Linked DNA regions of Kluyveromyces lactis. The protein of the gene in region 4 binds, or shares a complex with, the protein of the main gene of each other region. Links are inferred from orthologs where the notes say so. Each region holds a gene or a part of one and is shown on either strand. Other genes may lie near its edges.

Region 1 (2,418 bases), on a different chromosome or scaffold from region 4:
AGGAACAAAAAAACTAGAAACTCCGTGTACTAATTGGAATAGGAACTTATAAAGAACATTAGAATGCCAATCTTAGTATAATCAGCAACAGGAAAAAAAGAAACAAGATTAACCGTTTAGTGACTAAGTATGACATTAAATGAGCACCTGCCCGTTATTGAACCCTTCCATCCTGAACCGTGAAGATCAATACAACGGAAATTCAGGAATCAAATAGAAATCTTATACCGTTACTCTTTTTTCGCTTCATTTTTTTTCAAACTGGGACATACTGCACTTAACTTTCCCTTAATATTCACCACAATGTATTTATCTTTTATACATACATATAGTGTTCTTCAAACTTATTTCTCATTTAAACATTGAAAATGTTCACAAGTAGTCGTCATATTATTTTGCTATGACAGTTTTTAAATCAGTACTATATTTCATACATTATATTTACAGGATGTAATACTTTTACTAGAATTTAATTCATGAAAGAATAAATTCTCTGAAATTCATGTGCTTTTAGCAAGGACTTCACTGACCTTCTTGATTTGCTCCAAATATTGTTCCTTCTTTGCCTCTCTAGCCTTCTTATTCACTAGTCTTCTTTTAAGGAATCTAGGAATGAAAGGTTTTGCAGTTTCCTGGTATGGTCCCAATACACCATCGAATGCCTTTGAAGGTTTGTTAGCGTCGGATCCTAGTCTCATCCTATCGTTTCTGTATTTTTCCAATTCCTTTTGGAACTCAGTATTCCATGCACTCTTGTCCTCAGGTTCTGCAGGCCAGATAAATGGTTCTGCCATATCGATAGTCATCTTCTTGATTTGAGGACCACGGTACCTGGGCGACACCGGCGTAGCACGAGTGTATCTGGCATGCAATAACTGTGTAGTAACGTTCAACGCTCTTAAACCATAAAGGTGGAATAAATAATCTCTTAAATCTAATTTGTTAAACGATTTAGGAACGATGAATTTCGCTTGATATGGAGTGTGTTTAGCATTTGGTCTTAGTAGAATAACTCTCGCTTTAGGAAAATAGAGCTCTGCACCACCAACTTTAAAATGTGGTTTCTCAGTTTTAATCGCTTCACGAGTGTACTCCAAGATTCTGCTTTGTACGGATTGACGAGGTCTCTTGAACTGACTGGCTTTGACTGCTACTGTAGATTCCGTCTCTACCGCAGTAGCAAGGTTTCTCAAACCCTGTTTGAGAGATGGGAAAAAACGAGGCATTTGTTATAGATATTGAACAGAAACACTGGCGCAAAGATTACTACTTCACTTCGCTCTGCACTCGCAACTGAAAAGTCCCAAATAATCCTGTTCTTGTATGCGTCTCTTAGAAGCCTCATCTTCATACAAATCTTAATGTTAAAATCGAAATCATTTCAATGAAAAGCTTTAAAATACTCATTTTCCATGTTAGTAGATATTAGAAAAGCTGATGAGTACACATTTTGGCACGAATCTAACGTAGAATATGTCGTACAAAACTGGAGAGCTCTGGGATGTTTTAGAAGAAAGATTTTTTATTGGAAAAATCAGAGCGTAGGAAATGATCTTCACGTGACCTGATATATTGAAATTTTTGAATAAATGCTGTTACCCGTTTGTGACGTGGGAAATGATGTTCTCTTTATAGTGAAGAAAAAAAATACTCTGGAAGCTTGAAATTGAAATATTATTGTTTTGAGAGGCGAAACGTAATTACCGATTGATCGTTAATAGGAAGATTGGAAGAGAGAAGAGAAAAGAGAGTACCAGTCGGCTTAATCATCTTCTGTCAGAGTGGGGTTTGTTTCGGATTATTGGGTAAGTCCTTAACTCTTTGTATTTGGGGTGTGTTTTCTTCTTTGTTTGACCAGTAATACACATTTCTTTTCAGGTTGCGAGCAACACAACAAAGAGTGTTATTCTGTACTTTAATAATAAGCACGCACGTACGCATTATTTGCCACGGTTGTGAGGTCAGTGTAGATTATTAACGTTTGCAATTCTTAATACAGACCAAGGATGACTGAATACTATGATGAAGATCCATATGGGTACGATGAGGAAGAAGCTGCTATTTCAGCAGAAGATTCGTGGACTGTTATCTCCGCTTTCTTCAGAGAAAAAGGTTTAGTATCTCAGCAGTTGGATTCTTTTAACCAATTCATCAACTATACGATTCAGGATCTTATCTTGGAAGACAGTACCTTGATTTTGGAACAATTAGCACAGCATACCACTGAAACGGACAACATTTCCAGAAAGTATGAAATTTCATTTGGTAAGATTTATTTGGCCAAACCATCCATGACTGAGTCAGATGGTGTTTCTCATGCGATGTATCCGCAGGAAGCCCGTCTCAGAAACTTGACTTACGCATCAGGTTTATTTGTGGAAATTCAGAAGAGAACTTATCAGGCTATTGATATTCCAG
Region 2 (2,391 bases), on a different chromosome or scaffold from region 4:
GTGTACACTAGACTTACACCAAAATCGGTCCCACTTTCCTCTCAATCTTCCAATAAATCTACTGATCTAGGTATTCCGCAATTGCAAAGACCTCCATCTTCACACTCATCATCGCAGAACAACTCTAAACGTAAGAATAAGAAAAAAAACAAGAAGAGAAGGATTTCCCCATAAGTTTGAATAACCCTTTCCTTAAACTACCGGCTTACAATACACTTGCATCCTTGTTCATTCTTTCTTTGTAAACAGTCATACATGCATCTACCTCACACTGACTTCAGTTCATCTTTTTTCACTTCGGTTTCAGTTCATTTGGATCATCATATACATCTTCATCTATAGTAGTTGATATATTATTATAATTTTATCTTTTCATTATTCTATTTTATGTACACGAAATGAGGTCTACAAATGCTAATAAACCAGTTGGAATGAAACTCTCCATCGAGACCTTCACTATTTCACAAATCGATGCTTTGATTAGTGAAAAAAAAGTCAGTTTATGGAACTACCTTAATACCCATACTCTTAGCAACACCGATAATAGACTTTACGATTCCTTCAAGTTCCAGAGCAGCGTGTCTTCCATCGGTCTTCTTGATCTTGGCGATCTCATATATATGTTTTAACGACAGTTCACCACATACATTATCAGGGTTACTGATATTTGGTTGTCCGTGTCCCTTCTCAAGACTTAATGCCTTCAATAAAAGATATCCAGTAGGAGGGCTTTTCATTTCAAACGAAAATGTTCTATCTGGTTTGATATTGATGAGTACTGGAATCGGAGTACCCGGTTGGAAGTTTGCTGTTCTGGCATTGAACTCTTTACAGAAATCAATAGCTTTAATACCTTTAGACCCTAAAGCTGGACCAACTGGAGGAGAAGGCGCAGCTTGACCTGCTCCGACAATAAGTTTGACTATCACGTTCTTAAGAACCTTCGACATGGTCCTGTTTGGCGCTTCCTGGACTTACTGTTTCGATATTTTGTTCGAGGCAATTGATCGGATTGAATGCACATCTTACTTTAAGCCATCGATTTTTACCAGCTTATAATCTGGCATATCTCCAAGAATTTTTTAGGCCAAAGAAAATTTTGAAGTTATTACCCGCACATTGTTTTCCATTATACACTTTCTAATAAGCACAATTCATTGTCTGCTAAATAGAACCATATGCTGCGATGTGTACCGACTTCATGCCAAAGGTTGCTAACGTTATAAAGCATTAATTTTATGAGAATGCCAAGAATTGTTCTTAAATATTTTATACATTTGTGTACTTTTACAGGAGAGATAATTTATAACGATTGCACAACAATTAGAAGTCTATGTCGTCTCAGAAGAGTTACTCTTATTTGATAAAACATGCTGTAGAACATACCTCAGCCGGATTGCTAGTTTTACTCTCTCTCTTAATTTATTTTGCCTTTTTTTTCTTTTCAAGACCAGCAATGTGGGCTTCGCTTTGATCAACTTGGGTATGTTTGTGGTCCATTCCAGGGTGCACGACGTAGTTACCTTGGTTGTCTACTTCAACGGTGCACATGTCAATGGATTGAATCCAAGGGTCATTTAATACTTCTTCAATATTGGCTCTACAAGCAGGAGCCAAGTCTACCATCCTACCGATAATGTGGTGGGTCTCTTCCGGTAAGGAATGAAGTAGTCTTTGAGGACCAATATTCGTGTTGTTTGGATCAGATGGGTTGTTCGATTTAGATGTGCTCTCAGCTGGCTCATCAGATTGGACGGCATTGTCATAACTTGGCGGTTTAGGTGTTTTTGTGACTAAAGCACTCAAGGAATCGCAGTCTCTTCCCGAACAGAAGAATTTGAAGGAATTATCCTTTAACTTAGGTATCTTCCATGGGAATTTCTTTAATACCATACATGCAAACAAAATGGCAACGGACCATATATCAACAGGTCTTGGGTCATACTTGGTAAATATACAAACTTCGGGAGCCAAATATGGATCACTTCCAACAATGCCACTTGACTCGATTAAAGTTTTTGAGTGGGGGTAGGAGAAGACTTCTGCAGCACCGAAGTCAATCAACTTCACTATACCCTGGTTGTTTATTACACAGTTGTCCAACTTCATATCACGATGCGCCAGACCAATACTGTGTAAATATTCTACACCGGTCAAGATTTGCTTGAAACAACAACAGATTTCTTCATACGACATCTTATTACTCATGACGATGGCGAAAAGGTCATAATCACAATACTCCATGACTTGGAAGATCCTGTTGTTTTCGTAAACAATTTCAATAGTGGATATGATGTTTGGATGACGTAAAGTTGTACCAATACAGTATTCAGAAGTAATTTTCTTCACATAATCACGCTTACTTTCGTGTTCAAACTTTGGTCTGAATTC
Region 3 (2,729 bases), on a different chromosome or scaffold from region 4:
GAGATCCAACCGATTATTTGTTCGCAGAGGACAAAGAACAAGCTCTCGCGGAACAACATAAACTTGAAAGAGAAAGAGCTTCCAAGATCGGTGGGTTATTGAAACCATCGGAATTGGATGATGATGAGTAAAGATAACACCTTACAGAAATGTACAGCATGGTCAAGAAACGAAAAAGTTTCTGCGGATCCAATGAAAGCTGAAACTAACACTTGTCAAGCAAGGCAAATATATACATAGCAGGCCGTATATCTTCCCACATAGAGAAAAAAATTGTAATCAATTCTCTCCGACATATACCCAGGATCCAGTATCAACGTATGAAAGCCATTAAATATCTGGTTGAAAAGGACACTCAACGTTGCAGCAGTTACTATTTTATAATTGGTGTATATACAGGTATAGATTGTTAATAATAACCGTAGAAAGGCATGCTTTCCAAATGATTTCGGGACGGTGTCTAAACGACTGAAAAGATTCAATTTCTTAATCACAGTTTTTTATACTGGGGTTGGCTTTTTGATAGCATCTTGGATCTTAACGAATGCACCATTTGGACCTGCGACAGAGCCCTTCACCAAGACAGTACCTGTTTCGTCGTTGACGTCCAGCACTTGCACGTTTTGAATTGTTACAGTGTCGACACCCATATGACCAGGCATCTTTTTCCCAGGCAACACACGACCAGGTGTTTGATTTTGACCGTAAGAACCACCAGATCTGTGAGATACGGAAACACCGTGGGATGCCTTCAAACCTTTGAATCCATAACGTTTCATTACACCTTGGAAACCCTTACCTTTGCTGATTGATCTTAAATCAACGTATTGGCCAGGCTTGAACCACGAAGGTTTGATTAAAGAACCCACTGGTAGTAGTCCAGATTCGTCCTTGACTCTAAACTCGGTAACTTTTTCCTTTGGATTCACAACATGTGCAGCGAAATGTCCCAACATTTGTCTGGTAACATTCTCCGGCGACTTGTTACCATAACCAATTTGGCAAGCCCAGTAATTGTTTTCAGCTGGAGTTCTGTGTAGTATAACTTCGTTATTGTCCAACTGAAGTACAGTAGCTGCTATACGTTTACCAGTCTCTTTCTCGAAATACGGCATCATCCCTACTTTTTTACTCAAAGCACCACAACGTAGAGGTAATCTTCTTCTCTTTAGCGCATTTTCTGGAGAATGTTTAATATCTACAGGATCTAGATGAATGCTGCTTGCCACGGATGGTGCGACTAACTTGGCACCGTTCGATACTCCACTTTGTGAGAAAAGTCTTGTCCAAATCTTCGACGAAGGACTGCCAATAAATGCCATTATTCCCCAATTTTCAAAGACTGGTCGATTGATAACAAATGTGTCAATCCAGATAACCTCTTGGCAATGCTGGAGAAACTGTAAAGGATTTAAAATGTAGTTTAAAGACTCTATTGAAACCTGTTTCCATCTCTGTATAATTGTTAAAGCTGTTTCGATATTGAAAATTTTTTGAATCGATAAAGTTACCTATAGATCACGTGATTAAAACGGCACGTAGTTCTCTCACTGATTTAACACAAATTAAGTGTGCCCTTGACGGTTATTGGAAGTGTATGTTTATGCTTCTGTATTTACATGTTATTTAATATTATAATAATTATAATCATCATTCTATCGTCATCATTTGATCTTCTTATCCTTGATCTTGATAGTTTCATTGTTAACGTAGATACCTTTACCCTTATATGGTTCTGGAGGATGGAATTTTCTCAAGTTGGCAGCGAAGAGTAGCACTTGTTGCTTGTTGACACCTTCCACGATCAACGACGTGGGTACCGGAGACTTAACTATGATTCCCTCTGGGATAGGTAGGCCTTGTCTTACCGACGCACCGACTTTGACGTTGACAAAGGTGTTATTTTCCTCCAATTGAGCTCTGTAACCGGTACCAACGAACTTCAGAACAGCCATATGGCTCTCATTCACGCCTGTGATATGATTATTTATATGAGATCTTACCGTCCCCCACATGGATCTTTGCGTCTTGTCGGTAGAATCCTTCACTGCAACTTCGATTTTTCCCGAAGATCCATCCTGCTTTATCTCCACGAAATCTGGGATTTCCATATCAATCTTCCCCAAAGGACCCGATACAGTTACGTTCTGAGATAACTTAAGAGATTTGTTACCCTTTCTGATGATCTTTGGCAGTTTCATTGATTCCACCACCAACTTGGTCTCCGGTGTCAAATACACCGGAGAAGAACCAATATGTGAGCGCAGAAGAGCCGACACAGAAAAGAGTCTTCTGGAAACAAATGTCATGGTAATTGTGTATATCCTGGAAATAGTCTAGCCCACTTTGCAGCCGCTATATGACTGGGTATATTAGATCAAATGCGTCTATATCAATCTGTTCTTCCAGCACTCATCTCTATGCGTCTTTCAACCAATTTTTCACTTGGAATCAAAATTTTAATAGTGAGATAGTATGGGAGGGTAACTTTAATTGCTTTGACGATTGTTAAATAAGATATACTTAGGCTGTTACTCTCGATTGGTGACCATCTAGGCCACTCCTGGGTCGAAATGGGATGTGGAGACTGCTCTTCGTCGAAACACAGGAGTAAATACCTTGTGCTTATATTATCCTGTGCATCACGTGACTTGTTGATCTTTGCCCTTTCTTTTTGAAAAATTTCAAGCTCATCGCCTACGCATCGTCATCTCATCTCAATTACTGAA
Region 4 (2,730 bases):
ATGGCTGAGGATGCTGAATTTGAAGTGGTAGGAGATGCCTCTGAGACATTCCAATTGATATATTTCTTCCCGGATTTAGTCAAACCAGTACTTGAGCCAATATTTGATTACCTTTACCAGAAGTTTATTGTTGATTGGCGTATTGCAACTCCGTTTAGAGTATACGATATCGAACAAGCTAACATTTTGGCTCAAAAGAGGGGTGCTAAGCCTGTTGAAGGCTCTGAAGCGGAAGAAAGAAGGAAAAAGTTAGCCCTACAGGTTCTCGAAGAAAGATTGTTGGACAACAAAAACACAGAGTCTTCTACTCCACAAAACGATGTGTAAAAGTGAGACAAGCTCATTCTTATATTTTTAGACTTTAGAGCATTAAATAGACAAAAGTTGCTACAACTTGTGAATACAGATATCAATTTGATTGATATGGTGTATAAATCTGGAGAAATGGCGTTGAATGATGTGTATTATATACAGGGCATTTCTATATTGCTATATGATGTTCAGTTTGATTTAATTTCAGAATTTGGAGAAGCAGGAGCAAAATCGTTCTCAAGTTGCTCTAATTGCAACTCAAGCTTGGACTTCTTGGTCTTCCGAGCAACCAAATTTTTACCGCCTTCATCTTTGGATTTCTGCAAAAGTTGATAGTATGGGTCATTTTCCATAATCAAATAACCTCTCTTTTCTTCGTTACAGTAATATTCAATATCCTTCCTCTTTGTGGGTCTAGCTTGTAGAGGAACTCTTCCGTACTTTTCTAGGAACCAATGTGGTGATAAATGGGCTCTTAGACCAAGACGGTTGAAATAACGAGCAGTGAAACTTCCGCCTGCATGTTCGATTGCCTCAATTGCATCCTGTGAAGCTCTAGTAGCTTCAATCTTGATTGGAAGATTATAAGAGAATTTACCATCACCTAGAATCTTAATACCATCTTTGATCGGGCCGGTAACCAAACCGATTTCTTTCATCTTTTTCATCGTCAAGGTTTCACCTGGCTCCAAATGTAGGCGACCCTTTTGGTGGAACCACGTTATTCTATCAAGGTTTAATTCTTTCAATTTTAGTGATGTTACGTTGGTGAACCCTAGCTTTGGGAACAATTTGAAGATTGGGGTTTGACCACCTTCAAACCATGATTTTACATAACCACGGGCCTTTTGACCCTTTTGACCTCTACCAGCAGTCTTACCTTTGCCACTGGATGGACCTCTACCCAATCTTTTGTAGTTCTTCTTAGAGCCTTCACCAGGTTTTAAACCACCAAGGATCGTGATTTGGCGTACAAATGATCTCTGTATAAGTGATCCAAAGGGATTCACCACTTTGTTGATCGAAAACATCGTGCTAGTATTGTGAGACCTCGAGATAGGGCTATTAAATATCGATAATAGTAGATATCCAGTAGATTCATTGAATATCCAAATCATCTCCAGTAATTTCTTGTAAGTTAACCATATTCATTCTAAAAAATTTTCGAAATTAGGTATTCGGGTAACCTTTTAAAATGCTGAGATTCGCTAGGACACAGAGGGAGCTTGGAGACGATAAGAGGGTATGCAATGCTGATGTAAGTGTTTAGATGCGCCTAGCAGATTGACAAATTGAAACAGCCGAAACTATTTCAGTAAACCTACTATTATTTTAGCATCACGTTTTTCAAAAATGTAGCTGTAACATTATAAACTGCGTATTCCTCAGTTCAAAATAGGTTAGGTCCACCAGAAAAGAATTGGTAGCAGGCAATAATCTCGTAGGAGTATATAGTGGTAAATTCTTTTTATGACAAGAAACAGCTTCTATGGCCAAGTTGGTAAGGCGCCACACTAGTAATGTGGAGATCATCAGTTCGACTCTGGTTGGAAGCATTTTTTTGGATCCCTTAAACAATTACCCTAGATGAAAATGTAGCACAATAATTCCCGACAGTAAACATGACAATTAACCATTATAAAGATACCTTGAAGTAAAATGTGAAGAAATTAAATGAGTATTATAACGTTATATATGTACATATGTGAAAGCCCAACTTATCAGTATAACATAAATCGTTTCGATATATTTTGTGACTTGTCTTGTTTATAGTGTTAGACAATTAACTGATCCTCAGTTGATAGTTTTCATTAGGGGTATCAAGTATCAGTAGTGAGTATGGAACATGGCTTATTGTGGGCCTTAGTTGATGTTTTATATTTGGAATATTTCCTTTTGGCGTTTGTTTTGTTTGACAACAACAAGGGGATGATATTGGGTATATCATGCTATTATCTTAGCGAAATGTGTTAAAAAGATGATGTTATATTGTATCAGGATCAATCTCCCCTGAGATTTTCGATGATCGAATTGAATTCTGTATCCTCATCATCCAGCTCATCTGGATTGGCGATTCTTAGCGGTCGCCTTTGTTGAGTTACATCTGGTAAAGAACCATTGCTGAATCTAGGATTTCCCATTGTCGGACGTACAGGAGGTTGTGTTAGGTCTGGTTGATCCATAGTTTCTCCAAACGGACTAACGATTTGCGAATCACTGATTTCGTTTCCATTATTATCCAATCTTTTCTCCCTATTTTGACTTACACCAGATCTATCAGAGGATGATGATGCTGAATGAGAGTTTGGTAAAGTAGCAGCAGCGCCAAATCCACCTCCGGTAACTGGTGGGACTACGATGTCTTCTTCTTGACCAAACGAATAAGGTTGGTAATGCTTACTTTCCTCGAAGTCTGAC

Evidence for each region.
Region 1: MRPL10 (region 4) and MRP20 share a complex: the UniProt entries of both Schizosaccharomyces pombe proteins name them as parts of the mitochondrial large ribosomal subunit. The link is inferred for Kluyveromyces lactis from reciprocal best matches to the Schizosaccharomyces pombe genes mrpl10 and mrp20.
Region 2: MRPL10 (region 4) and MRPL19 share a complex: the UniProt entries of both Schizosaccharomyces pombe proteins name them as parts of the mitochondrial large ribosomal subunit. The link is inferred for Kluyveromyces lactis from reciprocal best matches to the Schizosaccharomyces pombe genes mrpl10 and mrpl19.
Region 3: MRPL10 (region 4) and MRPL9 share a complex: the UniProt entries of both Schizosaccharomyces pombe proteins name them as parts of the mitochondrial large ribosomal subunit. The link is inferred for Kluyveromyces lactis from reciprocal best matches to the Schizosaccharomyces pombe genes mrpl10 and mrpl9.

Annotation. Positions count from the first base shown.
Region 1 is NC_006038.1:504,944-507,361, reverse strand, and holds MRP20 (mitochondrial 54S ribosomal protein uL23m), read right to left. Parts: upstream 1,227-2,418; coding exon 501-1,226; downstream 1-500. Other genes in the region: DNA-directed RNA polymerase II subunit RPB2, read left to right, coding at 2,007-2,418. UniProt on the Schizosaccharomyces pombe protein: Component of the mitochondrial ribosome (mitoribosome), a dedicated translation machinery responsible for the synthesis of mitochondrial genome-encoded proteins, including at least some of the essential transmembrane subunits of the mitochondrial respiratory chain.
Region 2 is NC_006040.1:715,829-718,219, reverse strand, and holds MRPL19 (mitochondrial 54S ribosomal protein uL11m), read right to left. Parts: upstream 951-2,391; coding exon 501-950; downstream 1-500. Other genes in the region: ubiquitin-specific protease UBP10, read left to right, coding at 1-174; serine/threonine protein kinase NPR1, read right to left, coding at 1,423-2,391. UniProt on the Schizosaccharomyces pombe protein: Component of the mitochondrial ribosome (mitoribosome), a dedicated translation machinery responsible for the synthesis of mitochondrial genome-encoded proteins, including at least some of the essential transmembrane subunits of the mitochondrial respiratory chain.
Region 3 is NC_006041.1:1,426,133-1,428,861, reverse strand, and holds MRPL9 (mitochondrial 54S ribosomal protein uL3m), read right to left. Parts: upstream 1,323-2,729; coding exon 501-1,322; downstream 1-500. Other genes in the region: exportin CRM1, read left to right, coding at 1-131; MRPL6 (mitochondrial 54S ribosomal protein uL6m), read right to left, coding at 1,665-2,309. UniProt on the Schizosaccharomyces pombe protein: Component of the mitochondrial ribosome (mitoribosome), a dedicated translation machinery responsible for the synthesis of mitochondrial genome-encoded proteins, including at least some of the essential transmembrane subunits of the mitochondrial respiratory chain.
Region 4 is NC_006039.1:1,033,445-1,036,174, forward strand, and holds MRPL10 (mitochondrial 54S ribosomal protein uL15m), read right to left. Parts: upstream 1,431-2,730; coding exon 501-1,430; downstream 1-500. Other genes in the region: KLLA0_C12111g (uncharacterized protein), read left to right, coding at 1-327; WSC2 (Wsc2p), read right to left, coding at 2,313-2,730. UniProt on the Schizosaccharomyces pombe protein: Component of the mitochondrial ribosome (mitoribosome), a dedicated translation machinery responsible for the synthesis of mitochondrial genome-encoded proteins, including at least some of the essential transmembrane subunits of the mitochondrial respiratory chain.